Linked DNA regions of Saccharomyces cerevisiae S288C. Changing the gene in region 1 together with any one later gene gives a genetic interaction. Each region holds a gene or a part of one and is shown in the gene's direction. Other genes may lie near its edges. The genes, in order: BIT2, RIM1, HXT5 and EFM6.

What was found.
Region 2: mutations in BIT2 (region 1) and RIM1 together harm fitness more than expected from each alone (negative genetic interaction), as found in Saccharomyces cerevisiae (2 studies listed by BioGRID).
Region 3: mutations in BIT2 (region 1) and HXT5 together harm fitness more than expected from each alone (negative genetic interaction), as found in Saccharomyces cerevisiae (2 studies listed by BioGRID).
Region 4: mutations in BIT2 (region 1) and EFM6 together harm fitness more than expected from each alone (negative genetic interaction), as found in Saccharomyces cerevisiae (2 studies listed by BioGRID).

Annotation. Positions count from the first base shown.
Region 1 is NC_001134.8:741,560-750,033, reverse strand, and holds BIT2 (Bit2p), read left to right. Parts: upstream 1-5,635; coding exon 5,636-7,273; downstream 7,274-8,474. Other genes in the region: serine/threonine protein kinase CHK1, read right to left, coding at 1-440; UBX7 (Ubx7p), read left to right, coding at 663-1,973; HSM3 (Hsm3p), read left to right, coding at 2,231-3,673; EFM2 (S-adenosylmethionine-dependent methyltransferase), read right to left, coding at 3,923-5,182; SDH8 (Sdh8p), read left to right, coding at 7,458-7,874; mitochondrial 54S ribosomal protein mL54 MRPL37, read right to left, coding at 8,418-8,474.
Region 2 is NC_001135.5:169,348-176,802, reverse strand, and holds RIM1 (Rim1p), read left to right. Parts: upstream 1-3,362; coding exon 3,363-3,604; intron 3,605-3,687; coding exon 3,688-3,853; downstream 3,854-7,455. Other genes in the region: SYP1 (Syp1p), read left to right, coding at 365-2,977; FEN2 (Fen2p), read left to right, coding at 4,379-5,917. UniProt on the Saccharomyces cerevisiae protein: This protein binds preferentially and cooperatively to single-stranded DNA (ssDNS). Involved in mitochondrial DNA replication. Stimulates PIF1 helicase activity.
Region 3 is NC_001140.6:291,749-300,688, reverse strand, and holds HXT5 (hexose transporter HXT5), read left to right. Parts: upstream 1-4,241; coding exon 4,242-6,020; downstream 6,021-8,940. Other genes in the region: SFB3 (Sfb3p), read left to right, coding at 1-1,544; PAL2 (Pal2p), read left to right, coding at 2,080-2,204, 2,329-3,304; hexose transporter HXT1, read left to right, coding at 8,064-8,940.
Region 4 is NC_001146.8:583,717-591,743, reverse strand, and holds EFM6 (putative protein-lysine N-methyltransferase), read left to right. Parts: upstream 1-3,896; coding exon 3,897-4,637; downstream 4,638-8,027. Other genes in the region: rRNA (cytosine-C5-)-methyltransferase RCM1, read left to right, coding at 1-317; FAP1 (Fap1p), read left to right, coding at 584-3,481; KSH1 (Ksh1p), read left to right, coding at 4,924-5,142; cyclin-dependent protein serine/threonine kinase regulator SSN8, read left to right, coding at 6,453-7,424. UniProt on the Saccharomyces cerevisiae protein: S-adenosyl-L-methionine-dependent protein-lysine N-methyltransferase that methylates elongation factor 1-alpha (TEF1 and TEF2) at 'Lys-390'.

The DNA of each region.
Region 1 (8,474 bases):
TTTTCAGGCTTGATGTCTCTGTGAGCAACTCCACATTCTACATGCAGATAATTAATAGCACTAACGAGCTGTTGAAAGTAAAATTGGGCCACGTCGGAATCAACTCCAACGTCAGGCTCAATCTTATCAAATAGATCACCACCATCTGCCATCTCCAGAATTATCCACATATATTCTTTAGAGACATTACAATCGATAAGTCTCAAAACATTAGGATGCTTAGAACACTTCGATTGCAAAACAACCTCTTTTGTGATATCCTTGTCACTGAGTCCCATTTTTTTGCAAGTGGGAACATGAATGAATTTAACAGCTAGAATAATGGAGGGATCCATTTGAAGATGAGCATTTTTAACGCAGGCGAATGCGCCTTGGCCTACTGTATCTCCTAAAACAACATCCTTGATATGGGGTAAAGGTGACACCTGCGAGAGACTCATAGTAATACGTGCTGCCCATATACAGCAACTTATGATATACTCTTATGTTTGAAGCTGTAGTTGTTTTTATTTGCCATTCAATTATTAAAATGACATTTAAAGCCGCTCTTTATTAACTTCGGCAGGCCTCGTAGTAATGTTGAAAATTTAAAAGGGAGCTGGGTTGAGGTTGAAAGCACTTACAAAGAAGCAAGGATAGCTAAACCAAACAGCCGTAACCAAATGTTAGAAGCACTGTTTAGAGATTCTGTGGAAGAAGCAATAAACGATTCCATCAAGGAAGGCGTTGTGCTGGCCGTTTACAACACTGCACGGGATGACCAGTGGCTGAAAAGTTGGTTTAAAGGAGATGATGTCTCATTAGATACTTTAGCGGAACATAGTATTTGGTTGAGGTTGGTCAAAGACACTGAGCAGTTCCAGTTATTTGAGCAAGTATTTCCTAATGTAGTTGTACCCAGTATATACTTGATACGTGCTGGAAAGATAGAATTGATTATTCAAGGCGAGGATGACCGACATTGGGAGAAGTTGCTGGCGTGCATAGGCATCAAAGACAAAAAGGCTGGTGAGAGTTCGTCCAGGGAAACCAATCCAGGTTTGGCTAGAGAAGAAAAGTCATCCAGAGACGTCCATAGGAAAAATGCAAGAGAACGGATTGCTGAGACTACCTTAGAGATCCAACGTCGTGAACAACTGAAACAAAGAAAGCTGGCTGAGGAGGAAAGAGAAAGAATTATAAGACTTGTTAGGGCAGACCGTGCAGAAAGAAAAGCTCTTGATGAAACTCATCACAGAACCCTTGATGATGATAAGCCATTGGATGTTCATGATTACATAAAAGACGCACAAAAACTGCACAGCAGCAAATGCGTCTTGCAAATCAGGATGACTGATGGCAAGACTCTAAAACATGAGTTCAACTCGTCTGAAACATTAAATGACGTTAGAAAATGGGTGGACGTCAACAGGACAGATGGAGACTGCCCGTACTCATTCCACAGGGGCATTCCCAGAGTGACATTTAAGGATTCTGATGAATTGAAGACGCTAGAGACACTAGAACTAACTCCAAGGTCTGCATTATTACTTAAACCACTAGAAACTCAAAACTCGGGGCTATCTGTGACTGGGATGGAGGGACCAAGCCTTTTGGGCCGTCTTTATAAGGGATTCTCTACGTGGTGGCACAACGATAAAGATCCTGAAGTAACATCACAACGTGAGGAAACATCGAAGCCGAATCGTCACGAAGTGAGGTCTTCAACACCTTTATCTGGAGCTGCTTCGTCAAGCTGTTTCCAATACAACAATGTTCGGGAACCAGTTCAATCATCTGCTCATGCATCACCAATGCTGACACCTAGCGGAACCAGGTACCCATCGGAAACCAACCTTACTACGTCACGTTCTGTCTCGCCAAATGTTTTCCAATTTGTTAACAACGATCATCAAGAAGATCCTGAAGACCCAACAACCTTTAATGGTAATAATGTCCATTTAGAAAAGAAAAAGGACGAAGATAAAAAATAAGTAGTTAATGGCTTCAACTCCATTTATGACTAGTATTAGACGTGAATTTTTTTTGATTAGATTACATAAAAAAATATACAGTAATTTTATTTACATGGATTTTTGTTATAGCTGGTATTTTTATATCTTTTTTTCTGTTTCAAATGCATATAGAAAAATTGAAGAGTAAGTTTATATAAACACCTTAATTACGGGATTAAAAATAAAACAAGTTTACAACTATAATCACCGCAAAAGAACTCAGCGAAACAGGAGCAATGAGTGAGAAAGAAACAAATTACGTGGAAAATCTCCTTACGCAATTAGAAAATGAACTTAATGAAGATAACTTGCCTGAAGATATCAACACACTATTAAGGAAATGTTCTTTGAATCTTGTGACTGTTGTCTCCCTTCCAGATATGGATGTTAAACCACTACTGGCTACGATCAAGCGTTTTCTGACGTCTAACGTATCCTATGATTCATTGAATTACGATTACCTTTTGGACGTTGTGGACAAGCTTGTTCCCATGGCTGATTTTGACGATGTTCTAGAAGTTTATAGCGCGGAGGACTTAGTGAAGGCCCTTAGGTCAGAAATAGATCCATTAAAAGTAGCAGCATGTAGAGTCATTGAGAATTCGCAGCCAAAGGGTTTATTCGCGACCAGTAATATCATCGATATTCTATTGGATATTCTATTTGATGAGAAAGTGGAGAATGATAAGCTCATTACAGCAATCGAAAAAGCGTTGGAAAGGTTGAGTACAGATGAATTGATTAGGCGTCGATTATTTGATAATAATTTGCCATACCTGGTGAGCGTAAAGGGTAGAATGGAAACGGTTTCTTTTGTCAGATTAATTGACTTCTTGACTATTGAGTTTCAATTCATCAGCGGTCCTGAGTTCAAGGATATCATATTTTGCTTTACTAAAGAAGAGATACTGAAATCCGTTGAAGATATCCTCGTTTTCATCGAATTGGTTAATTATTATACTAAGTTTTTGCTGGAAATACGAAATCAAGATAAATACTGGGCTTTAAGACATGTAAAAAAAATACTGCCAGTATTTGCTCAACTTTTTGAAGACACGGAGAACTATCCTGATGTCAGGGCCTTTTCTACAAATTGTCTTTTACAGTTATTCGCAGAGGTGTCACGAATTGAGGAAGATGAATATTCTTTATTCAAGACTATGGACAAAGATTCTTTAAAAATTGGGTCCGAAGCAAAATTAATAACCGAGTGGTTGGAATTAATTAATCCGCAGTACTTGGTAAAATATCATAAAGATGTGGTCGAAAACTATTTTCACGTCAGTGGCTACAGCATTGGAATGTTGAGAAATCTTTCAGCAGATGAAGAATGTTTCAATGCTATAAGAAACAAGTTTAGTGCTGAGATTGTCTTAAGACTACCGTACTTAGAACAAATGCAAGTAGTAGAAACCTTGACGAGATACGAATACACTTCAAAATTTCTGCTCAATGAGATGCCAAAGGTGATGGGCAGCTTGATAGGTGATGGGAGCGCAGGTGCTATTATAGATCTTGAGACTGTGCATTATAGGAATTCTGCCTTGAGAAATTTACTGGACAAAGGTGAAGAAAAGTTAAGTGTATGGTATGAACCTTTATTGCGAGAATACTCCAAAGCAGTTAACGGAAAAAATTATTCCACAGGCAGTGAAACTAAGATTGCAGATTGCAGATGATTATGTTGCATAAGCGCAACTATAAAGGCGGCCTTGATTGTTTAATGTACTACCAGTATTGATTCCTGTCTGAATCAAAAACTAACCTTTTGGCGAGGTGGCCCATTCAGTTTTCTTCTCCATAAATTGTATAAATCAGTATGTAAGGTCTGGCAAGTACTTATAATTCACATTTCAATGTCTATGTAGCATGCATGATTTTTATTATAAAGAAAAACTATTCGCCTAAGCGCGTTCGTTTCTTTCCCACTAATTGCGAACGATTTGCCTATATAAATACTTAACGGCACCCCAATCATCCACACCCTCTGAATGCCGTTCTTCAACTACTTTTAAATCACTCTCTTTTAGTAATAATTTCAAAACCTCTCGTTCTTTGGCGTATTTTGCCCTTAAAGGTATTTCTAGGTGACAGGTCCCTGATGCCGCCAAAAACTTCGATATCATGTTAACTACCCATTCCGGATGCTGAGGCGAATATATCGGGTCGGCGATCAATATGACGTCAAATTCATTTTCATGTCCAAATTTATCTATAAAATCGTGAGGATTAGTCCAATCTAATATCTCTGCTTGAACGAAATCTCCTAAATTATTTAATGACACATTTTTCTTCAAATTCGTCACAATCTCGGGTAAATCCGTCACGAAGATTTCTATATTTTCAGTTCCATAAAGTTCTTTCCATTTTAAGGCCCATGAAAGTCCTACTAAACCAGTGCCCGCTCCTAATTCTAATACTTTAATCTGTTTGATGTCGCTGTTCGCTAACATGTTCACATTAGTGGTATGTAGGTAATCCAGGTGATCTACGACTAATTGTGAAAGTATTAAAGATGATCCCCATGTTTTCCAACCAAGATTATCGGCCGTTAAAGAGGGTTCATGAAGCGGTATGGAAGTGCTTAGATTTCTTAATTCAAAATATCTTACTATGGATGGTTGGGCCGTTCTCCCACAGTTTTCGGATATCCTTGAGCTCAATTCCTTAAGAAGTTCTTGTATGATTTCCTCATTCAATCCGCAACTATTATTGTATTTTTTCAATACACTAGTATAGTAGCCCAACAGTAGTTCTTTGGATACTGTAAATCTCAGCATTGGGATTTTATTGCATATCTTTTCCAACGAGTTTAACCTCTTGTTAGGCCATTCTTCTGTATACCAAGTCAAAAGTCTTTTCAGCAGATCGGGTTCCAGCCCATGACTCTTGCAAACCTCCAGTACAGATTTGTTCTTCCCTGTCTCCTGATTGAAGTTTACTTGTCTATCGGGCTTCAGAAGTATTAGTATACAAAGGATAACTTCTGGCGGAGCATACTTCACGGAGGGCAGATCCAGATTATCGATAATGGTGTCATCGTCGTCACTCTCTTCTTCATCTACAGCCGTTAATATTTCGTCACGTTGCGGTGAGCAAGGATCTTTTGGCTCTCTCTCTGCTAGATTGAACTGTAAAGCCTCAACCTGGATGTCATCAGGGGTGTACAAATCGAGAGGATCAAACATAGTGAAATATCCGCTATGGAACTCCTAACTTGCATGAGTTAGATACTTGAAAAGTAATATACAGATTGCACTACTATTATTTTGTAGCTCATCGCGAAATTGAAGAAAAAATTTACGATTGGAAAAAAAAAAACTACTATCAGAAATAGGTGAACCAATTTTAATGCCTGGATAGAGCTGCATACGCTACTAGCTTAAACCAATATTGGTGTCGCCTGTTTTCCTTTACCCAATCCAATATACCACTATACTGCGAATGAAGGTGTTGAAATAATTTGACAAGAGCACTTTATCCATTTTGCATGCGACCTTTACTAGCAATTTTTCAGCGATCTTTGCGGGCTTTAAAATAAGGTCAAAATTAAAGGGAGAAAGATAGAAGACAGTAAATAAAAAATACAAACCACAATAAGCATAAGTGGCTAGGCGAGTCTTAAACTACAGAGTCAAGCAATGGCAACAGACCTAAATCGTAAAAGAAGTGCTACCTCAGGCTCACTGAGCGTCACGAACCCGAACATAAAAGCAACTAATCGCAAACCAGCTAGAGTTTATAGTGTTTCTTCTGATATAGTACCGCAAGCGCTGACACATCCCGACGAAGATGTGCATCTAAAAACATCCAAATCTCCTCATGATGCCGCTCCTAGATGGTCACAGGTGGGGTTTCAATCTATATTCCATGATGGTTCCAATGCAAGGCGCTCGACGGATTCGATTGAAGAGGAGTACAGCCAAGGCACGGAGAATAACGATGGTCACTCCGAAATAGGTTCATCAAGTAGTAACCGAATGGAGGGGAACACCACGTCTAATGATAGTTTATTTTCTTCCAACTCAAGGGGCAATAAAAGGCGACTGTCCATCTTCACCAATTCAAAAGATAATATGAGAAATCGAAGCAGGAGCGGGTCAAAAAACTACGGCACTGTTATTACCGGCACAAGTAGTAACAACATAAGTAGGAGTGGCTCTAAATTGTTTCATACGAAATCTAATATGAGTGTGAACAGTTTACAATCTTCACTGTCTACAGGACATTCTCATTCAAACAAAGGCAGTAATGTCTTTAGCAAAATGGCAAAAAAGCTTTTACCCTACAAGCCGCATAATTCCATTGGTAAAGACGACGTTGAACCCGTAGTTCCCAGCCCATTCAGTAAATTTCTGCATTCTTCATATGGTAAACATAGGTCACCCGTACAGTTTATCCATACTTCTACTGGAGGCCTTATTGACTCTGGAAAATCTGTATATTCCTTTAACCCTAGCATTAACAACAACCCTAATGATACAGCTCTATCGCTGATCCAAGATGATGCTTTCGACGCGACTAATGTTTCTTTACTACATGATTTACTGAAAAACTTGCCATCCTTGATAGCAAACTATAAAAGCTTCACCGTACAGGAGTTATTTGTTCTGGAGGGGAATATCTGGGGTATATACTGCAGCATAGTTGTGGAGCTATTTAAAAACAAGAGGGTATGGCAATTGCCAGCAAAAATAGAAGATATTGACCGGCTGCTGGAATTTTATATCACTTTGAAAACACAAACCAAGGCTGCCGTAACGCACTCAAGGTTTTTGGCCGAAATCGAGGAATTCATTACCACTTCACTTTACATTTTAGAGAACCAGATTGTGTTCAATTATGCCAATGAGGATACCGTAAATACGGCTTTGAAAAGAGTCGGCATAATCTGGAAGGTGTTTTACCAACAGGTTTACTACGACATGATGGCAGTGTTACTGCCCTTCGAGAAAAGCTTCCAAAAAAATAGTAACTACTGGCTTGACGGATATCTATCTGAACCTTCAAGGTACGCACCGTCAATTGATGTCCTTTTATTAAAGTGTTTTAGAGACTCCATCATTCTTCCGTATTACGAAAGCTTCCTACATACAAATGACGGTGCCAGTAAGAGTTTTCAAAGATATATTTTCAGCGAGGAAGAACAGAACGGCGTCACAGAGGAAGATAAACTGACGCTGCTGCAGTGTTTTGGGATCCTGAATACCATAAAAGGTAACAGCAGAAACCAAAGAATTATTGGTGAACTTCTTGAGGGCATACGCATGAGTATATAATTAAATATTTTATTTAGTAATATACAATAGTGGCATATAGATAGGTGTATTTCCTTTTTCTTGTTCCAAGAATCCGGAAAAACAGATGCTCTTTTCCGCCCTATAAAGGGGCCAATGGGGAAAGTGCAGATCATATTAACTTGCTAAAGAGTCAGAAAGAACCAAATAATAAAAAGAAGAACTAATGTTGTGCGCCATCAAAAGCACAGGTTATCGGTATCCTCGCACGGGAGCCTTAAATCTACTACGTGGACGACCATTTAATATGGCCACCCGAAAAATAACTACTGAAAGGATCCCCGGCCCTCCCAAGCTGCCAAGAGAAGAGCAGGAAGAGTTCGAAAGACTTCAGAGGATTGCCACATCGCAAGAGGCAATAGATCAGTATAATGCGCAGGCCACCGGCGATCGTACAAAGGAGAGTTTGAATTCACCGCTTTTAACCAAAAACGATATTGGGTCATTCTCGCCTGAATTTTCCAAGACCATACCTGAATTCGAAGGTGATGTTAACCCCAAGACTGGTGAAGTTGGGGGTCCCAAGCAGGACCCGTTGAGACACGGCGATTATTCGTTTAACGGAAGAGTAACGGATTTCTAGATATTTGGTCCGGCCAATTTTTAATAATACTATTCTTATTTGATGAAACTGCGTAACGTTCAATTTACTTTTCAATATGTATGTTGTTATGCTTTATTTTGAATATATAATATATATATGTGTGTGTTATGAAATGCATACGTTTCATGTTTGCCTAAAATCTCTTTCTTGTGAGCGTCCTTCGAATTCTTTTCGAGTATGAATTGAACCTATTTCGCATGTTTTTCGTGGAGACAGTCTTTCTAGTGCTTTTTAACCTTACCTTTGGCATGTTTTTGATCTTTACACTGGGCACATTCATACTTATCTTAGCCATGATTGACAATTCAACTATCTTGTTTCTTGCGAATTTGTGGTACTCTAAAGGATTTAATTTTTAACGTTTTGTTTGTCCCACTTGGTATTCCCCAGGCGAAAAGATATGTGGGAACTATCATGTTTTTGTTGGTACAAAATAAGGCATTATGCTAAAAACATACTATTTAACCACGTACACACATATTTATTTACAAGGATACCAAACTTGATCTTATTAACGGAGGCTTAAAGTTGGCTCAAGAAATTGTTTTGCTTGATTCGCTGCCTGTTCGCCTTCCTTAT
Region 2 (7,455 bases), on another chromosome or scaffold:
TTTACTTTCATTTACAGAGTACTAGCACCTCCACTGTCGCTAATACTGAATTTAGTTTTGAAGAGTGAAAACAACTAAATCAGGCGGTAGAAGAAAATCAATAGCTCATATATTCTTATATATTACAGGTGATATTTGTATATGATTATGAATGGCTTTTCGTAGCCCGTGATCTTTCATTTCTATATTATGTGTAGCTAAAAGGGCCCCTTAAGTACTTGCAGATTGAAAAACTCTATATTGCATTCAAGTTTTCACGAAATACAAAGAAAAGGTCTCGTAGTTATTGCCTTAATAAAGGAATTACTTTTGCTGTAGTCGTATTGAAGCAAGCTTATTTGAAAATTGCGAATAATCACCTCTCATGACGGAACAAAGAACCAAATATGCAGATAGCATATTGACTACTAAGAGTCCTTACGAGGCTACCGAAACTATTAGAATCAGGTTATCGCAGGTCAAATTGTTGAATAAAGACTTTTACCTGTTATTTAAGGAATTGGCAAATCTGAAGAGGAACTATGCTCAGCAATTGAGAAAAATAATAGCTGAAAATGAAGATATAACAAAGATCTTAAACGCTCAAATGATTGAAAGTAATGTTTTGACTCCGCAGGAAATGAGTGCATTCAGATTCAACTCGCTGGGAGAGCTAAGAAATGTATGGGATACTGTAATTGAAGAACTAAAATCAGATTTGAAGTCAAGTACAGAATACTACAACACTTTGGACCAGCAAGTCGTTCGTGAATTGAAGGAATCCGTGGAGAACAATACTAGCTGGAGAGAAAGCAAGGACTTACATTCCAAGCTTAGTAAAAATGCAGCTTCAATTGAGCACTATAGTAAGAATAACGAAAACTCTAGTCACTTAGAAGAGGCAAGAAGGCAATGGGACCAGCAAAGCCCCTATTTGTTTGAGCTGTTCGAGACTATTGACTATAACCGTTTGGACACTTTAAAAAACTGTATGCTTAGATTTCAAACCAGTTTTAGCGATTATTTACTAAATACTACCAAAGAATGCGAAACGGTGATGACGAAATTCCTGGCATTCGAACCGCAAAGTGAAATTGATCGTTTTGCCAAAGATGCCAGTCAATACAACTTCCAACTATCCTCTTCTTCCAAAGAAGTAGTTCCTAATAATGCTTCGCCAGCTTCTGCCACTGGTGCCCGCCCGGTCTCTGTATCCAATGGTGCCGCTAATACGGAAAGAGAAAAGAAATCCCCACAAAAGGATAAGCGTAAGAGTGCATTTGGAAACATTGGACATCGTCTTGCCTCTGCATCTTCCAGTCTCACTCATAATGATCTCATGAATAACGAATTTTCAGACTCTACTAATAATTCTTCCTTGAAATCAAAAAAGTCGTCCCACACCCTAAGATCTAAAGTGGGCTCAATTTTCGGTAGAAATAAGACCAAGAACAAGAGACAACAACAATCATCATCAAACTCTCATATTCAGGCATCCATCACTGAGACTCCGAATAATTCTTCCACCAGAGTGTCTTCAACTGCAACTTCTTCTATTTATCAGAAGCAACGTCGACCCACCTATTCATCATCAAAATCAAACAATTGGACCCCGGGTGAAGCTAGTGACACTCCTCCTCTTCCTCCCCATGCTACTCCTAAAAACGTAGATGCACCTGTTACTGCCGATACACCACCTGCGCAAACTTTTACTCCTTCTGAAGTGCCTCCTTCAACGCCACAACAAAGTTCTCCACCCACTGCGAAAGAACCAGACTCAAGTAACTTACCCAAGACAGTACCGATATCAATTTCTCAACCTCCACTTCAGCCACAATCAAAAACAAAACCATTACCAGTTGAGCCTGCCTCTCCCAGTATTTCACTTCCTACTGCTACGGTTGATAACCAACCTTCAGGTCAAGTTGATTCAAGGCCCTTGCATATCCGCGCACCTGCTTTACCACCCTCAAGGAAACAAAATTTCATTCATAACAGGGATTCTCAACTCTATGACTCTTTGCCTAATCACGGCTCAGGCGCTACCCCTACTTCTTCTTCCTTGTCCTCTATTCCCCAGGAACGTCCAGTTTCCACACTCTCCTCTCAGATTACTGGCGAGCTAAGAGAACTAAATCCTCAAGCCACGGGCTCTTCAACATCTTTAGTTGGTCAATCGTTGTTTCAGCACTCCTCTTTAGATACATCTCAATTTGGGTTGAATGCTAGTATCGCAGAAGTGCTCAATGCTTCTTTCAAAGACGGTATGTTGCAGAACTCCCAACTGATTGGGGAAATTGCCCTCAACTATTTACCCAATTCTGTCATGAATTCGCCTTTACCTATCGGTATTAATTTGAGAATCAATAATGGCGCTAAGTTCGAAAAGGTCATTCTGAACCAAGCCTTTATTGAGCGTGTTGCTCCAGAAGAATTCAAAGTTAACCCTTCATTTATCGATTCTAGAACCTTAGGAGCTATTAAATATTCCATAAAGGAGCCGATCGCGCCTATTGTTATTCATCCGGTCTGGAGATTTGAATCTCACCAGGCAAGTGTTGTATTGACTGTCAAGATGTCACCAAGCTTACCCGATGAAATATCACAAATCGTAATAGAAGACCTCGTTGTCTTTGTGAATATCGATGGTGCTAATGCAACAAGCGCTTTATCAAAACCTCAGGGCTCCTTCAGTAAAGAAAAGAAGAGAATAACGTGGAGATTTAAAGAACCAGTTGTTTTGACAAGAAATGGTGAAGGTCAAAGATTAATCGCCAGATTTATTACAGACGGCCTGGCACATGAATCCGCTAAAGGCGTGATTACCAAATTCACTATCAGTGAGACGGATAACGTGGCTCTACCCCATAGCGGAGCCGGCAGTGGAATCACCTTGACTTGTCAGGAGCTGGATGAAAACAATCCATTTGGTGGTGAGTGGCTCGATGTAAACACAAAAAGAACTTTGACCACTGGTAACTACCATGGTCTCGCTTGATATTTCTGCTATGCTTCTATTTTTCAATATTAATTGTTCTTTTGTTTGCTAATCCATAATTTATGGAGGTGGCGCCGCTAAATCATATTTTCCTTTTGAAACCTTTGTTTAAGACTTACGTAGAACTACACTTATGTACTATAATGTTCTGTAAAGATTCTGTATTTTCGTTCTTTTCTATTCCATTTTTCGGACTTTTAGGACTTTTCATCTAATACTTATTATTTGTGGAGGAGTGCTTAAAAGGCGTTTGCGCCCAGACGAAAAAAAAAAAGCTAACACAGTAGTTGAGAAAGACAAATACCACGAATTTGATAACAAGTCATTTGCTAATTGTGTGTCCTTGACAAATACAAAACAAACAAAAATCCACTAATCCATTGTAATGTTTTTACGTACTCAAGCTCGTTTCTTCCATGCTACTACCAAGAAGATGGACTTCTCGAAAATGTCCATCGTCGGCCGCATTGGCTCTGAATTCACTGAACATACTTCTGCTAATAACAATCGTTATTTGAAATATAGTATCGCTTCGCAACCAAGAAGAGATGGCCAAACCAATTGGTATAATATCACCGTTTTCAATGAACCTCAAATCAATTTTTTGACAGAATATGTTAGAAAAGGGTATGTTATTTATTCTTCAATTTTACTTACTTTACAATTACGCGTTATAATTTACTAACATTTCCTTTCCATAATTTATTCAGCGCTTTGGTATATGTTGAAGCAGATGCTGCTAACTATGTCTTCGAGAGAGACGACGGTTCTAAGGGTACTACTTTGAGCTTAGTTCAAAAGGACATTAATTTATTGAAGAATGGGAAGAAATTAGAAGATGCTGAGGGCCAAGAAAATGCTGCTTCTTCAGAATAATTGTAATATTTACGCTTGCTTATTTCGACTCTTCCTCGATATTTTTTATCTAGAGCATGCTTTCTTTTACTTAAAATATTTATGGCAAATAGGAAAAATACATTTGGAATAACGAACTAGTTATGTAAAACTATGCTTATTCTCAAATAGAATGTATATATACTATAATATATTGGTTAACGTGTGTTATGCAAAATGCTTTTTGATGATGAAATTTAGCAAAAGAGGAGGAAGCTTTAGCGAATTTAACATATCCTTCATTGTTACAAAATTGCCTACACCTCCATTGATCCATGCAGTCCGATTATTGTAGATTTTGAGTAGTCGATCTTGAAAGGCATTTTTGACGAATTACAAGAACTCAGCATCGATCAAATCTTCTACATGCGTATATTGTAAAGGAAGACATCGGCTCTTAAGAGAAATGAGGCGGACCTGTAATTCTGATATAAAAGTATTCCGATTTATTCAAGATTGAGAAGCTGTTTTCAGAATTTTTGATTGGAGAGAGCCTGGGCCTAAGTCATGATGAAGGAATCGAAATCTATCACTCAACATGAGGTTGAGAGAGAATCTGTTTCTTCCAAGCGTGCCATTAAAAAGAGATTACTTCTGTTTAAAATAGACTTGTTTGTGCTATCATTTGTTTGCTTGCAATACTGGATTAATTATGTCGACCGTGTCGGTTTCACCAATGCATATATATCCGGTATGAAGGAAGATCTTAAGATGGTCGGAAACGATTTGACCGTGTCTAACACAGTTTTCATGATTGGTTACATTGTAGGTATGGTCCCCAATAATTTAATGTTATTGTGTGTTCCGCCCAGGATATGGCTAAGTTTTTGTACGTTTGCTTGGGGTTTATTGACCTTGGGAATGTACAAAGTTACATCGTTCAAACATATTTGCGCAATTAGATTCTTTCAAGCCTTATTTGAGAGTTGCACATTTTCAGGAACACATTTTGTTTTGGGTTCGTGGTATAAAGAAGACGAATTGCCCATTAGAAGTGCTATTTTTACAGGTAGCGGTTTGGTGGGATCTATGTTCAGTGGATTTATGCAAACAAGTATCTTTACTCATTTGAATGGGCGGAATGGCTTGGCGGGTTGGAGATGGTTATTCATTATTGATTTTTGTATCACATTACCCATTGCAATTTATGGGTTTATTTTCTTCCCCGGCCTTCCTGATCAAACAAGTGCTGTTAGCAAATTTTCTATGACGAGATACATTTTTAATGAACAAGAGCTACATTATGCTAGGAGAAGGCTCCCCGCTAGGGACGAAAGCACCCGGTTAGACTGGTCGACTATTCCTAGAGTCTTAAAAAGGTGGCACTGGTGGATGTTCTCTCTTGTTTGGGTTCTGGGAGGTGAGAACTTGGGTTTCGCATCTAATTCTACATTTGCATTATGGTTACAAAACCAAAAATATACGTTGGCGCAAAGAAATAATTATCCTTCGGGGATATTTGCCGTAGGTATAGTTTCTACGCTTTGTTCTGCTGTATATATGAGTAAGATCCCAAGAGCTAGGCATTGGCATGTTTCTGTTTTCATATCATTGGTAATGGTTATTGTTGCGGTACTAATACGTGCAGACCCACTAAATCCAAAAGTCGTCTTTTCTGCACAGTATCTTGGAGGCGTAGCATACGCTGGACAAGCGGTTTTTTTTTCGTGGGCAAACATTATTTGTCATGCAGATCTTCAAGAACGTGCTATCGTTCTTGCTTCCATGAATATGTTTTCAGGGGCCGTTAACGCATGGTGGTCTATATTATTCTTTGCTTCAGATATGGTGCCCAAGTTTGAGAGAGGTTGCTACGCCCTCTTGGCTACGGCAATATCAAGCGGAATTGTCTCGGTCGTCATACGCTCACTACAGATAAAAGAGAATTTGTCTAAGAAACAGGTTCCTTATATAGATGCTAATGACATGCCCGGAGAAGATGACGATGACGACAACCAGGATAATGAAAATGATGGCGACGACGAGAGTATGGAAGTTGAACTTCATAATGAGGAAATGGCCGAAATTTCAAATCCTTTCCGATAGATACATTCGATTCTTTTAGCTATTCATTGGTCCTGTTGATGGTAATGGAAAATCTCAGGGCTCTTTTCAAAAGTATCATGAACAATAGCCGCTAAGACACTTCTAAAGAGGTCTACTTAGTTTTTCATCATGCATTTTTCGATTTCTGTTTAACTAATCTTTCTTTTCTTCCTTGCCAAGTGCAGGACAATTTCTAAGTCTATGTTTTTAAAAGCTTCTTGCTAACTTATTCGAAAAGGTTTAGTAAGTATTTTGTTCTCTGCTATGCGTTCACGCACTCTGCTATTTTCTACTTCTTGGTAGAAGTTAAAGTAAGTCAACTAATTACGACACCATGTCTGATGCATTTTAGAAACTTCAAATTTCAAGATTATTGTGACACGAAAAATTGGTTATTTTATGAAACAATGTAAGGAAAGCATTAGAATCTCAGGCAATAGAAGAGACCAAGAAGGAGCGAGAACTTTTTTTTTCACTGACAGAGCTTTACCAATCCACAGACAATTGCCAGGCCATGAAAAGATCTGTTCCAATTTTTCCTTTATCTATCCTCTCAGAAGATTGTGAACTTGAGTGACCTGAGCAGGTGACTTAGGTGGAGGAGCAAGATAAAGCTAGCTCCGGTCGGAATTTTGCCTATACTTTTTTTTTCTCTTAGCTCGATTTATTTACCTTTATTTAACTTCTGCAGTTGGACAACGATAAATATAACTTGTACTTCTATTATGGGAGCTATCTTCTTAGCGTTTTAATATTTCTCTTAAATATGACACAAGTTGGTTTACCGTGCTGTGATTATTGCATGCTCTTTCGGTGTTAACGTTCAAGCAGCGTCAGTGAGAACTAAAATCATCCAATTTTGGTTAGAAATTGAGGACGAGATGACCTGACGCAGTTCTTCATTGGGAGATCAGTCGCGCGAGAAAGAGTCCAGAGACAAAGGAATTTAATATGGCTACAGCAAGATGTTCTGAAGGATGATCGTGATCTGTTCAGGTGAGAAATCGGTGAATGTTGTGATTATCGTTGGGTCCACTGTTTTTTAAAGGGTATAATATTTCGTATATACTAGACGTTCTACTCGAGGACATAGGAATCCTTAAAATGGAATCGGTATTTCTACATAATAATACTCCTACCTTCTGTTTCTTATGTTTCATTATCTTATTACATTATCAATCCCTGCATTTCGCTTCCATTAGGTTTGATGACTGTATCTCAATCTTTATGTCATCTTCTTACACCTCATGTGATAAAATGCTAGTAGCATGAATACTTCTGAATGGATGGTATTTTAGAGTTTTATTCCAACACTAATATTATAACCTTTACCGAGAATAGTGAGAAATGTGTGGGTAATTAGATAATTGTTGGGATTCCATTGTTGATAAAGGCTATAATATTAGGTATACAGAATATACTAGAAGTTCTCCTCGAGGATATAGGAATCCTCAAAATGGAATCTATATTTCTACATACTAATATTACGATTATTCCTCATTCCGTTTTATATGTTTATATTCATTGATCCTATTACA
Region 3 (8,940 bases), on another chromosome or scaffold:
CTTTACAAGCCGCAAAATTAGCGTTAGACACAGTAACTGGCGGGCAAGGTGGTAAGATTATTTGTTCTTTGAACAGCTTGCCAACGATCGGCAACGGGAATTTATCGCTAAAAAGGGACAATGCACACATTGCTCATGTTAAATGCGACAATGGGTTCTATAAGAAATTAGCATCGGATTTTTTGAAATCCTACATTTCTTTAGATTTATATGTGACCAATGCGGGATTCATTGATATGGCCACTGTGGGCCATCCTGTAGAGATGACTTCCGGTATTTTGAAATATTATCCCCACTTTCAACAAGAGACGGATGCCTTCACTTTGGTTAACGACATGGTTACAAATGTCTCCAATATTGTTGGTTATCAAGCTTTATTGAAAGTTCGCTGTTCTACTGGGCTATCTGTGGAACAGTACTACTGCGATTCATCTGATAATACGGATCATGATCCAATTATTCCTGTATTGACTAGAGATACCACCTTAGATGTCTTACTAAAATATGACAGTAAAATAAAAACAGGAACCGATGTTCATTTCCAAACTGCATTGTTATATACTGATATTGATGGTGTCAGAAAAGTTCGTTCTATTAACACGTCAGGTGCGGTATCTAATAACATTCGTGAAATTTTCAAGTTTATAAATCAAAATCCTGTCATGAGAATAATGATCAAAGATGTCATAAAGACGCTCGGTGATTGTGACTTTGTAAAGATCAGAAGATTAATTGATGACAAGATGGTCGAAATCTTGACCCAATATAGAGGATTGGTTAGCAGTAACTCATCAACGCAATTGATACTGCCGGATTCTATAAAGACATTGCCTGCTTACATGTTAGCATTTGAAAAAAGCGAATTAATGAAGCCAAACGCTCAAAGTACCCGTGGTAATGAACGAATTTATGATTTATTGAAGTACGATTCATTGAACTCAGCACAACTTTGCTACAAACTTTATCCACAAATTGTGCCATTCCATGTATTATTAGAGGAAACTGATCTGACCTTTTACGATGCTAATGATAAATTATTACAGATCAACTCCAGCTCTATTAATAATCTATCTGTAAGAGCCTCACACTCTAATTTCATTAACGGCGGTTGCTACTTGATTTTCCAAGGTGATACTATCTATCTATGGTTTAATGAGAACACCAATAGAATGCTCTTGCAAGACCTGCTGTCAGTGGATGAATCCTTGCCCGTCAGCCAAATTTCGTTATTTAGTGGAACATTGCCTGAGACGGGCACTAGTATTAATCAAAAGGCTTCAAACGTCATTAAAAACTGGCAACAAGTAGTCAACAAGTCATCATTGCCGTTAGTCTTGTTGAGGCCTAATGTTGATCAATATTACAGTAATGTGATGAGTCAATTGCTTTGCGAGGACAAGACCGTCAACAGAATCGAATCATATGACAATTACTTGGTGATAATGCATAAAAAAATTCAAGAAAAACTTCAAAAAGACGATTTCATTAAAGTCTCGACTGCCGCAACTCACGAAAATATCCATCAAAAATTTGTGCAGTTTTGAGCCTCGCTCAAAGGAGACCCTGTGCTTACACGCAGAAAACTGGAAATAACGACATATTGTTGTGGCTGTGGCCGATGCGGTTCGTATATCCATTACTAAATAATTAAATACGTAAATGAATGAATAGACTGATATGATTGTGATTTTTACGTGTTGGCTATATTGTGCCTTTCTGCATTCACCTGCGCCTCCTCATGTAGAAAGGCGTTGATCAAGGGGAATACAGGAGAAGTATTTTTGGGTTCGTGTTTTGGTGGGGTTCCAGCCACAGAAGGGCTCTCGGCAGCGAAACGCTGACTATGCTGAGAATACTGCCAAAAAAAAAAAAAAGGCAGTATGTGAAACGCAGGCAGAGAAAGGGTGAAATTCTACATAGGATGAGAGAATCTCATAATTACAGGGATAAAACTGTAGCTTTGCTTCCTCTTTTATCTTTATTTTTTCTTGACTGTCTTCTGGTAAATCTTGCAAAATTACTACTATTTTGTATTTCAGAAGCGTTTTTTCCAAAGAATACTATATCAAACAGACGCAAATGAATCAAACAGGAAGGACCATAGGCGGTCCTCAAAATGGCGTGAATACAGTGATTAACCCCTTCAGAGTTTCTCCTTCAGAGGACAGAGTATCAAGCAGGGATGAAACGCCCAGGAATTATAAGTATGTGTAGCTCCACTCCCAAAATTGCACTACAGTGTAACTAACAGTCATGACTACTTCAGAATACTAACTTAACTCTTTTTCTCCTTTCAAAATCGATTGAGATAATCCATAATTATTGCAGTAACCCATTTTTAAATGAAGATGACACTAGGAGGGCCCATAACAGTAGCGTTTCCAATTCTAGACAAGAAAGACTCCCATCATATGAAGAAGCTGCGGGGACACCGAAACAGCAAGCTCCATACCCAAAAGAAAAGAAACGCAGTAGTGGTTCAAATAGTCACCAACACAACCACCACCACCATCGTCGTACATCACACGGACATAGGGACAAAGATAAGCAGAAGAGCAAAAGCAGAACCAAGGTTAAGCCCCCTAAAAATGTAGACACTATTGACAAGATGGATGTTACAGGATTATTTGGCGGATCTTTCCATCATGACGGCCCCTTTGATGCATGCACTCCACAGAGAAATAAGAATAATAAAGTGGCGCCTGTACTGGCCTTCCCAGCAGATGGTCCAAATAATACAGTAGGCGGCCGCACAAGTAAGAAGTCTACCTTAGATGAGGTGTTTGGTAGGGAAACAGTAGACGACGATTCTGAGACGCTGAACCAACTACAAGATAGAGCATATTTATTCAATAAGGCCAATTCCAGTACTACGACTTTGGATGCGATTAAACCGAATTCAAAAAATATTACCCAGTTCGATTCCAAAATGAAAACTGAACTAGTCCATGGGCCCATTACGATGGGTCTAGGCTCAACGACGTTCCTGGATGGCGCACCAGCGTCTTCCGCTGCCATAGAGCAAGATGTTATCAACCACGCACAAGAATCTCGTAGGAAAAACAGCATAGCAAGAAAAAAGTCTCTCCCCTCAAGAAGACATCTACAAGTGAACAACAACAATTTAAAGCTAGTGAAAACACATAGTGGACACTTGGAGCAAAAGGACGTAGACGATAATAGAACTTCTGTTCCGGTCACTGCCACCCAAGGAAGCGGTCACGAAGATGTTGTTAAAAAGGAAAACACCGGCAACAAGCTATTAAGGAGGGTGAAAAGCTTGAAAACTAGTAAAAAGCACTGATCAATGCTTCTTTCTTGCGTTCTTTTTGTTGCGCCCATATATTATTTTATTTATTACATTCATATAGCAATATTTACCTTATTTTATTGGTTACTTTTCTATACGCAAAATCACTACACTATGTTATGTTAAGGTCTCCGATACGGGAATATACCAATCAATACTTATCACTTCGGATTTTTTATGGGTCTTATCCCCACTGTTCCATTTTCTTGTTTAAGGCATCCCGGAGGATAAACTAAAAAGGTGGCCCATCCCACCCGAAATGAAAGTAATCATCTGCTAGCAAAAAGTAAAGAAATGAGAGCATGCTGTGATGTACTGGTGGACGAAATTGTGACCCATACCCACCGAAGAAACATCCGCATGACGTGTTACTGTTACTTCCCGGATTAAGGGATGCATTCTAACTCTGTGCGCCCTTTTCTCTGCAGTTGATCCGCATTCCCCGTGGCTGTGCACATTAGGGGACAGTAAGTAATTCACTTTCTGATCCCGCACTCATAGCGATGGAATAATATACCGGATTTCACACCTTGTTATTGAGTGAAGTACTGCTTGGTGAAATGATATCTTTATGTTCAATATTAATGGTCGTGTGGATGAATATATGGGCATGGGTTAATTAGTTTTAGGGGCACGGAGTAAACAAGAAAGGAGGGCCAGAATCATTAGTAGAGTACCTCAAGTTTGGTTTCTTTTTGATTTCACGTATAAAAGAGTCTCTCTCTTTTCTTTTCATGCTAGTCGAACGGTTCTCCCTCTAAGAATAAGAAACTATCAAAAGAAAGAGAAAAGTCGATTGAATAATTTTTCTATATATAATATACGCAAACAAGATTCGCTTTCACTTTGCAATTTTACTTCATAGCTTTGTTAAAACCAGCAAAAAATATTATTTTTCTAGAAAAAAGAATATATTAGAGGTAAAGAAAGAATGTCGGAACTTGAAAACGCTCATCAAGGCCCCTTGGAAGGGTCTGCTACTGTGAGCACAAATTCTAACTCATACAACGAGAAGTCAGGAAACTCGACTGCTCCTGGTACCGCCGGTTACAACGATAATTTGGCACAAGCTAAACCCGTCTCAAGTTACATTTCCCATGAAGGCCCTCCCAAAGACGAACTGGAAGAGCTTCAGAAGGAGGTTGACAAACAACTAGAGAAGAAATCGAAGTCGGATTTACTATTTGTATCCGTCTGCTGTTTGATGGTTGCTTTTGGTGGGTTCGTGTTTGGGTGGGATACTGGTACTATATCTGGTTTTGTCAGGCAAACAGACTTCATTAGGCGATTTGGCAGCACCCGTGCAAACGGGACTACCTATCTTTCCGATGTCAGAACCGGTTTGATGGTTTCTATTTTCAACATCGGCTGCGCTATCGGAGGTATAGTTTTGTCAAAGCTCGGTGATATGTATGGACGTAAGATTGGTCTGATGACTGTTGTCGTCATTTACTCAATTGGGATCATCATCCAAATCGCCTCCATTGACAAATGGTATCAATATTTCATTGGAAGAATCATCTCAGGACTGGGCGTTGGTGGTATTACAGTTTTGGCGCCTATGCTAATTTCTGAAGTGTCGCCTAAGCAGTTGCGTGGTACTCTGGTTTCATGTTACCAATTAATGATCACTTTCGGTATCTTTTTGGGATATTGTACTAATTTTGGTACCAAGAATTACTCAAACTCTGTCCAATGGAGGGTACCATTAGGCTTATGCTTTGCATGGTCTATTTTTATGATTGTTGGTATGACGTTCGTTCCTGAATCCCCACGTTATCTGGTAGAAGTGGGAAAAATTGAAGAGGCCAAGCGGTCCTTAGCAAGAGCTAACAAAACCACTGAAGACTCTCCTTTAGTAACTTTAGAAATGGAGAACTATCAGTCTTCTATTGAAGCTGAGAGATTGGCGGGCTCTGCTTCTTGGGGGGAATTGGTTACTGGTAAGCCCCAGATGTTCAGACGTACACTAATGGGTATGATGATTCAATCTTTACAACAGCTGACAGGTGACAATTACTTCTTTTACTATGGTACTACAATTTTCCAGGCTGTTGGTTTGGAAGATTCATTTGAAACTGCTATTGTTTTGGGTGTTGTTAATTTTGTTTCGACTTTTTTCTCGCTATATACCGTCGATCGTTTTGGTCGTCGTAATTGTTTGTTATGGGGCTGTGTAGGTATGATTTGTTGCTATGTCGTCTATGCCTCTGTTGGTGTTACCAGATTATGGCCAAACGGTCAAGATCAACCATCTTCAAAGGGTGCTGGTAACTGTATGATTGTTTTCGCATGTTTCTACATTTTCTGTTTCGCTACCACTTGGGCCCCCGTTGCCTATGTCCTTATCTCTGAGTCGTATCCCTTAAGAGTACGTGGTAAAGCAATGTCGATTGCAAGTGCCTGTAACTGGATTTGGGGGTTCTTGATCAGTTTTTTCACTCCATTTATTACTTCAGCAATCAATTTCTATTATGGCTATGTCTTTATGGGTTGTATGGTGTTCGCATACTTTTATGTGTTCTTCTTTGTTCCAGAGACAAAGGGCTTAACATTAGAAGAAGTCAACGAAATGTATGAAGAAAATGTGCTACCTTGGAAGTCTACCAAATGGATCCCACCATCTAGGAGAACAACAGATTATGACCTAGACGCTACTAGAAATGATCCGAGACCATTTTATAAAAGGATGTTCACTAAAGAAAAATAATCTCTTGTAGTGTAGGATCAACTATTTTCGCATACTTGCAATGTTCAGCATTGCACCATTTCAAATTTTAATATTAATATTAATCGTTTTCGTTCATATGTTCATTCATAGTTTACAAATAATGCAATCATATGCAGAGATATTTTGTCCGTGGTTAATAGGGCTGCCTGTTATTCCTTTAATTCAACTAAATTACGTATGTCTAATAATATCAAAATCATCATGACGTTTTTGTTTTTTTTCTTTATTTTAAGTAGGATCAAACCAGGGGAGAAAGGGTTGCTACGCCTAACAACAAGAACTTGTATATCGTTTCTTGTTACTTATACTTTTCTGCCCACTTCTCTCTTACAACTGCTCGAGCTCATCCTTGGTAATAAAACAGTGAGGACGGTTACTCGAGGTTTCAACAGGGGAAAATAAATTTATATGATGAATCAAGAGCCCCGTTCTTTTACCGTATTATCCTTCATACTACATACTAGGGAAAGAACTGAAAACTCCGCTACCTGCTGTAACAGCGCATAATAAAAAGCAAGAATATAGACAGTTACTGTTGTTTACGTTCTTTGATGACATCATTCTCATCAGACATACAGAAACACATCCTTTTTGTCTACCCCGTATTTATTCCAACTTCAAAGTATAGGTACCGTCCGGTTATACTCTCATATACTTTGTGGCAGTTTGCTTCTTTAAACCTTGTTAACCCAGAATATTTTCAGTGCAAAAAGCTTCCGATCCTCAAATACAGTGAGAGAAAAAGCAAACTTGTCTTCATTATTTTTCTGTTTGGCCCTGTCACGGTTCTTTTTATGGCCTTCTCGAAGGATATCCGTAGTCAATTATATTCACGTAGTTGCCAAAAGTAATTTTTGGAAAACTATTATTCCTCCGAGAAAACCTCACACAGAAATCCTTGCAGGTCTCATCTGGAATATAATTCCCCCCTCCTGAAGCAAATTTTTCCTTTGAGCCGGAATTTTTGATATTCCGAGTTCTTTTTTTCCATTCGCGGAGGTTATTCCATTCCTAAACGAGTGGCCACAATGAAACTTCAATTCATATCGACCGACTATTTTTCTCCGAACCAAAAAAATAGCAGGGCGAGATTGGAGCTGCGGAAAAAAGAGGAAAAAATTTTTTCGTAGTTTTCTTGTGCAAATTAGGGTGTAAGGTTTCTAGGGCTTATTGGTTCAAGCAGAAGAGACAACAATTGTAGGTCCTAAATTCAAGGCGGATGTAAGGAGTATTGGTTTCGAAAGTTTTTCCGAAGCGGCATGGCAGGGACTACTTGCGCATGCGCTCGGATTATCTTCATTTTTGCTTGCAAAAACGTAGAATCATGGTAAATTACATGAAGAATTCTCTTTTTTTTTTTTTTTTTTTTTTTTTTACCTCTAAAGAGTGTTGACCAACTGAAAAAACCCTTCTTCAAGAGAGTTAAACTAAGACTAACCATCATAACTTCCAAGGAATTAATCGATATCTTGCACTCCTGATTTTTCTTCAAAGAGACAGCGCAAAGGATTATGACACTGTTGCATTGAGTCAAAAGTTTTTCCGAAGTGACCCAGTGCTCTTTTTTTTTTTCCGTGAAGGACTGACAAATATGCGCACAAGATCCAATACGTAATGGAAATTCGGAAAAACTAGGAAGAAATGCTGCAGGGCATTGCCGTGCCGATCTTTTGTCTTTCAGATATATGAGAAAAAGAATATTCATCAAGTGCTGATAGAAGAATACCACTCATATGACGTGGGCAGAAGACAGCAAACGTAAACATGAGCTGCTGCGACATTTGATGGCTTTTATCCGACAAGCCAGGAAACTCCACCATTATCTAATGTAGCAAAATATTTCTTAACACCCGAAGTTGCGTGTCCCCCTCACGTTTTTAATCATTTGAATTAGTATATTGAAATTATATATAAAGGCAACAATGTCCCCATAATCAATTCCATCTGGGGTCTCATGTTCTTTCCCCACCTTAAAATCTATAAAGATATCATAATCGTCAACTAGTTGATATACGTAAAATCATGAATTCAACTCCCGATCTAATATCTCCTCAGAAATCCAATTCATCCAACTCATATGAATTGGAATCTGGTCGTTCAAAGGCCATGAATACTCCAGAAGGTAAAAATGAAAGTTTTCACGACAACTTAAGTGAAAGTCAAGTGCAACCCGCCGTTGCCCCTCCAAACACCGGAAAAGGTGTCTACGTAACGGTTTCTATCTGTTGTGTTATGGTTGCTTTCGGTGGTTTCATATTTGGATGGGATACTGGTACCATTTCTGGTTTTGTTGCTCAAACTGATTTTCTAAGAAGATTTGGTATGAAGCACCACGACGGTAGTCATTACTTGTCCAAGGTGAGAACTGGTTTAATTGTCTCTATTTTTAACATTGGTTGTGCCATTGGTGGTATCGTCTTAGCCAAGCTAGGTGATATGTATGGTCGTAGAATCGGTTTGATTGTCGTTGTAGTAATCTACACTATCGGTATCATTATTCAAATAGCCTCGATCAACAAGTGGTACCAATATTTCATTGGTAGAATTATCTCTGGTTTAGGTGTCGGTGGTATCACAGTTTTATCTCCCATGCTAATATCTGAGGTCGCCCCCAGTGAAATGAGAGGCACCTTGGTTTCATGTTACCAAGTCATGATTACTTTAGGTATTTTCTTAGGTTACTGTACCAATTTTGGTACCAAGAATTACTCAAACTCTGTCCAATGGAGAGTTCCATTAGGTTTGTGTTTCGCCTGGGCCTTATTTATGATTGGTGGTATGATGTTTGTTCCTGAATCTCCACGTTATTTGGTTGAAGCTGGCAGAATCGACGAAGCCAGGGCTTCTTTAGCTAAAGTTAACAAATGCCCACCTGACCATCCATACATTCAATATGAGT
Region 4 (8,027 bases), on another chromosome or scaffold:
TGGTAAAGCATGCAATGAGTTTCCCAGCGGCTAAAAAAATAGTATACAGCACATGTTCCATTCATGCGGAAGAAAATGAACGAGTCGTCATAGACCTTCTTTTAGATAAGTCAGTTAGAGAATGGGGTTGGAAAGTAGCGCCAAAAAGAGAAGTTATTCCTTCTTGGCCTAGAAGAGGCAAGGTAGAAGAGTTCGAAGAGGTTTTTAGAGATGGAGTCACCTATGACCCTCAACAGCTTGCCGAGGGTTGTATCAGGGCACTACCAAAAAGTGACGGTGGTATTGGTTTCTTTGCTGTCTGTTTTGAAAGAGATTAAACTTTCAGAACATTCATGTATATATGTGTATATCTGATATGTATTATTGCATTTTTGCTGTAGTACTACGGAAAAGACATTTCAATAATCTATACATCCCGCACATAAAGGAAGATTTTCGGGTAATATACTATTATAAAAATTATCGATGAGCTCTGTGAAAAGGTCGTAAATATAAAAGTTCTTTCTTGCGACAGTGGCAACAACCAAGTGAAACAGCGTGAGACGAGACTGCTCTAATCTATTTGCAGTCGTAGGCATTACAAATGACCGAACATGAGTCTTTAGGCCTGGAGCAAAATCAAGACGGCGGTGACACTTATAGACATCACAACCTAAGCGATGGGTGTATTTCGAGTGTTGAAGACGCCAACGAGCAGCCTAGTTCGTATGAAGAGGAAAGTGATGATGATATGCAATATTACGAACGTGCGATCCAGGAAATTTCTAGCGGTGACTCATATGTTTGTATGATTTGTACAGTAGAGATGGATTATACGTGCCAAATGTTTGCTTGCAAGAGATGTTATAGAGTGTTTGATTACGGATGCATAAGAGAATGGGCGTTAAAATCAACGGAAAAAACCGTAGATAGAATATGGAAATGTCCAAACTGCTATTATGTTAGCAAAAGAGTTCCGGTAAAAAATCGGCCCACATGTTGGTGCGGTAAAGTTGTTAATCCTGATCCGAATCCGCTGGATCCTAACTCATGTGGACAAACCTGCAATGCTTCTACTTGTATGCATGGTTGTTCCAAAATTTGTCATCTAGGGCCGCATCCAGAGTGTACTAGAATGGTCGAGATTATGTGCCACTGTGGTAAGCATTCGAAAAGTATCTTTTGTTACCAGTCTAAAGTTATGAAAAAAAACTTCAACTGTCAAGAAGTATGTGGATTGCCTTTATCTTGCTCCATCCACACCTGTAAAAAGAAATGCCACCCTGGCTTATGTGGGCCATGTCCAGAAATGATAATTAGTAAAGATAGTCCGAAAAAGCAAATAAAATGCTACTGTGGTAACCACACTCGTGCTAACATAAAGTGTAGTGAAACAAAGTTTCCCAAGTCCGGTAAGTCGTCGAAGGATGAAAATGGGAACAGGTGGATAGGCGTGTTTGCCTGTGCAGATAATAGAGTTGTCGACTACTCATGTCGCAAGCATTCATTCATAGAATCTTGCATAAGCCCACCCACAATTAATGGAGAAAAGGCATGCCCATTTTTGCCTAGCTCTTTGAAAACTTGTCCCTGTGGCCGGACAGCCCTAGAGGAACTGACTAAGCCTCGTAAGCATTGTGATGATCCGATACCAACCTGCGACTCAAGATGCGGTAAACCACTAAAATGTGGCAAACATTCGTGCCCCTTCACTTGTCATGATAAAGCCTGTATGGAACCCTGCTTGCAAATTGATAGTGTAAAATGTGCTTGTGAGCAAAGTACATTTTCAGTTCCATGTGGATTTCAAGGAAGGCCTCGCTGCAATATTAAATGCGAATCCCTGATGTCATGCCGTAGACATAGATGCACCGATAGGTGCTGCAGTGGTAGGCCATCGGCGATAAGAAGGAAGAAAAACTTGTTCAGAACGCAAGATTTGTTGGATGAGTCTCTTGTGGAAGCAAAACATATCTGCCTAAAACCGTGTAACTTGACCCTATCATGTGGAATTCATAAATGTCAGAGAAAATGTCACCCAGGAAAGTGTCCGCCCTGTTTAGAGAGTGATTCGAACGATCTGGTCTGCCCATGTGGCAATACAGTTGTTCCTGCACCCGTGCGTTGTGGCACGAAGCTACCTACATGTAATCATCCATGTATTAAAGTTGTGCGTGGCGAATCTACGTGTGGTCATAAACCAATGCCACATACCTGTCATTCCTTGGATGTGTCGTGCCCGCCATGTACGGAAACCGTATTTAAACCTTGTAAATGTGGGAAGAAAACTAAAGTGAGAACGGTTTGTTTTCAAACAGACGTATCATGTGGAATAAAATGTGGGATACCACTCTCTTACTGTTATCATACCTGCCAAAAAACATGTCATTTACCAGGAAATTGCCAAAAGGTGTGTAAACAGACCTGTGGGCAAAAAAGGCTCAATTGTAATCATGAATGTCCTAAACCGTGCCATGGTAAGACAGAGTGTCCCGATTTACCTTGTGCCACGCTAGTGAAAATTTATTGTAAATGTGGAAGGATCAAAAAAAGTGTTACTTGTGGCGCAAAAAGTGATAGAGTAAGTGTAACTGAATCTTCCGTGCTGGATTGCAATGAAGAATGTGAAGCTTTGAAACGACTAAAGGAATTGAAGGAGGCATTTGGAATTAAGGAAGAAACCAATAATTTTACAAGTAATGAACTAGATGCGTTAAAAAAACTGGTCTCTGTTGCTACAACATTTGAAGAACTGCAGTTACCGTTTACAGAGGCAGCATTATCAGTATATTCAAAGCAAGAAAGATGGTGTTCACAAATTGAAGCTATTCTTAATAAATTAATGGACGATAAAACACGTTCAAGCTTGCATTTCAAACCTATGAGGCCTCCTCAACGCCACTTCATCCGTGAACTAGCCAAAGCTTACGGCCTATATTCCGAGTCTCAGGACAGAGAGCCCATGAGATCTGTATTTATTAAGAAAGAAGATAATGGCGCAAGCAATAAACCAGTCTTATCATTAGCAGAAGCTTACCCACTATATGAATCATTTAAACAATTGCAGAAGGAAAGGAAAGCACAAGAATTTCAAGCTCGCACCACAGCTAAACTAATCAACTTCGAGGTTCAAGATACGGAACCTAAAGTAGAGGTGGCTAAGAAAAATGGTTTTTTGGTTCAAAATTTGGTTGCTGGAAATACTGCCGAAGATCTAAGGAGATTTTTTGAACCACATCTCAAGCATACGTTAGTAGTGAATCCTCAATACCTAATCCTTGATGATGGCAAAACAGCACTAGTGTATCCTGAAAATTACGAAACAGCATCCGTGAATACCGAACGTGACATGGAGCTTTTGGTTGGACACTTCGATTTTATGGCCAAAGAGGCATTTTTGGCCGATTCCATTTCGTTGTGTTCAACTGAAGAAGAACTTGAAAGAAGGTTGGATACGCCCGTAATTCAAGAGGATAGTCCTGTAATGGATAATAATACATGAACTATAATAGCGTGTCATTATTTATTACGCGGAATTCTAATTAAATAGAAATATCTAACTTTTATTTTTTTTCATCCTATCTCATTTCTTGTTTCTCCCTGTCGTTGCTAAAATACGAGGATCTGCATATGTTTACATATCAACGTTCCCGTAAACGAATGGAGAATACTGAGTGTCACGTTAATAATACGGATATTATAATTTGGAAACCTAGTCAAGTAAAACCAGAAGAGATTTTTCTTTTCTCTTAAGCTTTTTTGGCTTGACCAAACGAAAAGTCCCTCACACCCAAACACTGAAAGTAATTCTTCGTATTTAAATAATTCAAAAGTTATGATGAGCAGGCTCTATGTAAAAAAATGGCCCATAATTTTCCCTAGAACGTTATAAAAACGCGACTAGTGAGGTATTGAGTATGGAGAGTATATTTGGTGGGTTTGGAGATCTAGTTGTTCCTAGGCCAAAGGAGCATCTCGGTCAAACAGACCTTTCCTTCGGTGGAAAATTATTGCCTGCATTGAAAATTTGTGAAGATGGCGGTGAAAGTGGTTGTGGCGGTAAAGTCTGGATCGCTGGCGAACTGTTGTGCGAGTACATACTCGAGAAATCAGTTGACCATCTGCTAAGTAAGACGGTCAATGGTACGAAACAATTTAAAAAAGTCTTAGAATTGGGTAGTGGTACAGGTTTAGTTGGATTGTGCGTGGGGTTGTTGGAAAAAAACACATTCCACGATGGCACTAAAGTATATGTTACGGACATTGACAAGTTGATACCACTATTGAAAAGAAATATAGAACTGGACGAAGTTCAGTATGAAGTTCTTGCGAGGGAACTTTGGTGGGGTGAGCCGCTGTCGGCAGATTTCTCACCTCAAGAAGGTGCTATGCAAGCAAATAACGTTGATCTAGTTTTGGCAGCTGATTGTGTGTATCTCGAGGAAGCTTTTCCATTACTAGAAAAAACACTACTTGATCTCACTCACTGCATAAACCCACCTGTAATCTTGATGGCTTACAAGAAGAGAAGAAAAGCTGATAAACATTTTTTCAACAAGATTAAAAGAAATTTTGACGTTCTTGAAATTACAGATTTTAGTAAATTTGAACATTATCTTAAGGAAAGAACCCACTTGTTTCAGCTTATCAGGAAGTAACCTGACACAGTGAATTTATCTCTTAATGATCCTGATCTTATTATATTTAGTAATGAACTTTTCGATAGACATTTGTAATTCATGAAAAAACGATATAACATTCATTTTTGTAGTGTGGTGTACGCATGGTGGGACTGCTCTTCTTGAGCGAAATTTTGATCTTCAATAGAGTGAGCAACGACAACTCAAGGATAAAGACAGAACAGCGGTAAACATCGTTTGCAAAATAACTAGAGAGCCGGATCGATTTACTTTGCAAAGTTGCGTCCTTTTTCCACGACAGAATATGTCTGCATTATTTAATTTTCGTTCTCTTCTGCAAGTGATATTGTTACTGATTTGTTCATGTTCTTATGTTCATGGGCAGTGGCCGTCTCTCCTAGATCGTTACAAAAATCATGAGGTTTTGGGGGCCTTCTGGAAAATGGCACGTGTTGGTGAAAGGGCCAGTCCATATGTTAGTTTAGCATGTATTTTGATGGCCATCAGTCAATTTAACAGCTGATTGGAAGATACTTAGTCATATGGATTTAAAGTTACGCAAATCAAGGTCATAGAAGGTGCAGTACCTTTTAAAACAAAGAGTATAAGTGGATTCAGACGAAGTGTCTCTTTAATTCTATCGTCTGATAGCGTACAAGTAAGGGTGCTATGAGCTAGCACGCACAGCAAAAATATAAACACTTTTGTATTTTTTTTTATTTTATAGTGTTTTGTGTTGAGTATTCATCTATTCGACCTCTATAGAGATTTAAGAAGGGAATTCATTGTCACAATAAGGACGCATAGTTGTTCATTTTAGACATCATTTACAGCACTTCCGTAAACTACCCCATATTGCGATTGAATACTACCGAAAAGGCTCAAGAATTTACGTGGTGCCCAATCAATTATATAGAATGAGGAACAATGGTAAGTAATGAATAATCATGGTCAGTAATAAAAAAGCAATCTCGTCCATGTTTCTTTTTGAAACTCAGAGCTTGACTCTGTTGCATTGGTATTTCATCATTTGATGAATTATTCACTATTCCATCTTCTTCTTACACAAGTTTACCAATAAATAACTCATCTGAGTTATTCAGACTTTTTATTAGATCAGTTCGGCATATTTAACTATGCAAAAGTTTTACACTGCTAAAAAGTAGTGTAAACAACAAACTGTTAAAAAAATAAAAAGGGGTGAATCCATGGACCAAGAATAGTAAGCTCCATTGGGTTACTCGATCCAGCACGGGAAAGAGCAATCGTCATAACTATGGTTTAGATTCCATACAAACGGAATCCAGTACCGAAGAAAACACCAGTACCCTGCAATAGAGGTACCAGGTCAAGAAGCAGAATACCCAAGGGCATCCTCCTTAATGAGTTGATTTAAACAATTTAAAATTTTTAAATCTCATTACGTTTTCCGCATACGAATTGGTGGGAGACTTTCAACCCAAAGCATATTACTGAGTAAAAAAAATTTTACTCCATTTTGTAAGCTTCGATTTGTGACGATTCTTTGGTCATGGATTGAAGAACTTTAAACGAGAAGAAATTAGAAAACAGGTGAAGACCACTATTTAGTTCTTTACCGCAACATAGGATAAACAAAGTTATTTTCTTACTCCTTTATATATTTGAAAAAATATAAAATCCACGGAAAAACATCGAAAATTCATTTTTCATGAAGGAAAATTAGGGTTCATACAGGAGTAGAGTTCATTGATGTGGTAGCAACCTTGTTAGCACTCATATTGTTCGAACAAAAAATGCCCTCTCAAACTTTAGTTGAAGAGCGATAAGGCATCTGAATCTCAAAAGTTAGACATGTCGGGGAGCTTCTGGACATCTACACAAAGGCATCATTGGCAATATACCAAGGCATCATTGGCTAAAGAGAGGCAGAAGTTATGGCTATTGGAGTGCCAGCTGTTTCCTCAAGGTTTGAATATTGTAATGGATTCGAAGCAAAACGGCATCGAACAATCCATCACAAAGAATATACCAATAACTCACCGAGACTTACACTATGATAAAGATTATAATCTAAGGATCTACTGCTATTTCCTGATAATGAAGCTTGGAAGGAGACTAAATATAAGACAGTATGCACTGGCTACAGCACATATTTATCTATCAAGGTTTTTAATAAAGGCTTCAGTTAGAGAAATAAACCTATATATGCTGGTTACTACGTGTGTATATTTAGCATGCAAAGTTGAAGAATGCCCGCAATATATCAGAACTTTGGTAAGTGAAGCCCGTACCTTATGGCCCGAATTTATTCCTCCTGACCCTACTAAAGTTACTGAGTTTGAGTTCTACTTACTAGAAGAATTGGAAAGTTACTTAATTGTCCACCACCCTTATCAATCCTTAAAGCAAATTGTTCAAGTCTTAAAGCAACCGCCATTTCAAATAACACTATCGTCAGATGATCTACAAAACTGTTGGTCCTTAATCAACGACAGTTATATAAATGATGTTCATTTGCTTTACCCTCCTCATATTATCGCTGTTGCATGTTTATTCATTACGATTTCCATTCATGGGAAACCAACCAAAGGATCATCGTTAGCATCTGCGGCTTCTGAAGCCATCAGAGATCCTAAAAATTCTAGTTCTCCTGTTCAAATAGCTTTTAATCGTTTTATGGCAGAATCTCTTGTAGATCTTGAGGAGGTTATGGATACGATTCAAGAGCAAATTACATTATACGATCATTGGGACAAGTACCACGAACAATGGATAAAGTTTCTGCTACATACTTTGTATCTTAGACCAGCATCTGCAATTTAATCATGCGAAGAATAAATTTAAAAACCGTTAAGCCTGTAAATTCAATCATTATGGTGGTGATGATCCGTTTTGGAAATGTTTCGTCCTTGACTACCTTTGTTTAACATGATATTGGAACGTCAAGACATATTGAGAATAGGTACCGTTATAATGCATAATTAAAAATTGCTTTGATATTGAGGTGGAAAGCTGGGTCGGACCTTGACATGTATTAAATTTAAAGAATCGAACCTAGTGTTTTTTTCTCCAGTGTTCAAAAAATCCTTTCAATTTGGTCTACTGCAGTAGCCCACTTATAACACACATTCAAGATGGGTGAACCGTGGCTCAAACTTCCCCATTTTTCAGAGTATGTGCAACCACAAAACCTTTGTCAGAAATTCTTATGGCAGGCCAAATTGATAAACTAACAGAAATATTAAACGCCCCCCAAGTTAAAATACTAGAACATGTTGGCTTATTTCAAAAACATTTTCTTCCTTTTCTAAAGTGTTTGATAATACTTTTGCATATATATAAGTGGACACGGACTAGTAAAATTGAACAGCATCATAGTCTTGATTTTGTGTGAAATGAGGTTGAGGATAAAGATCGCATTGCTGC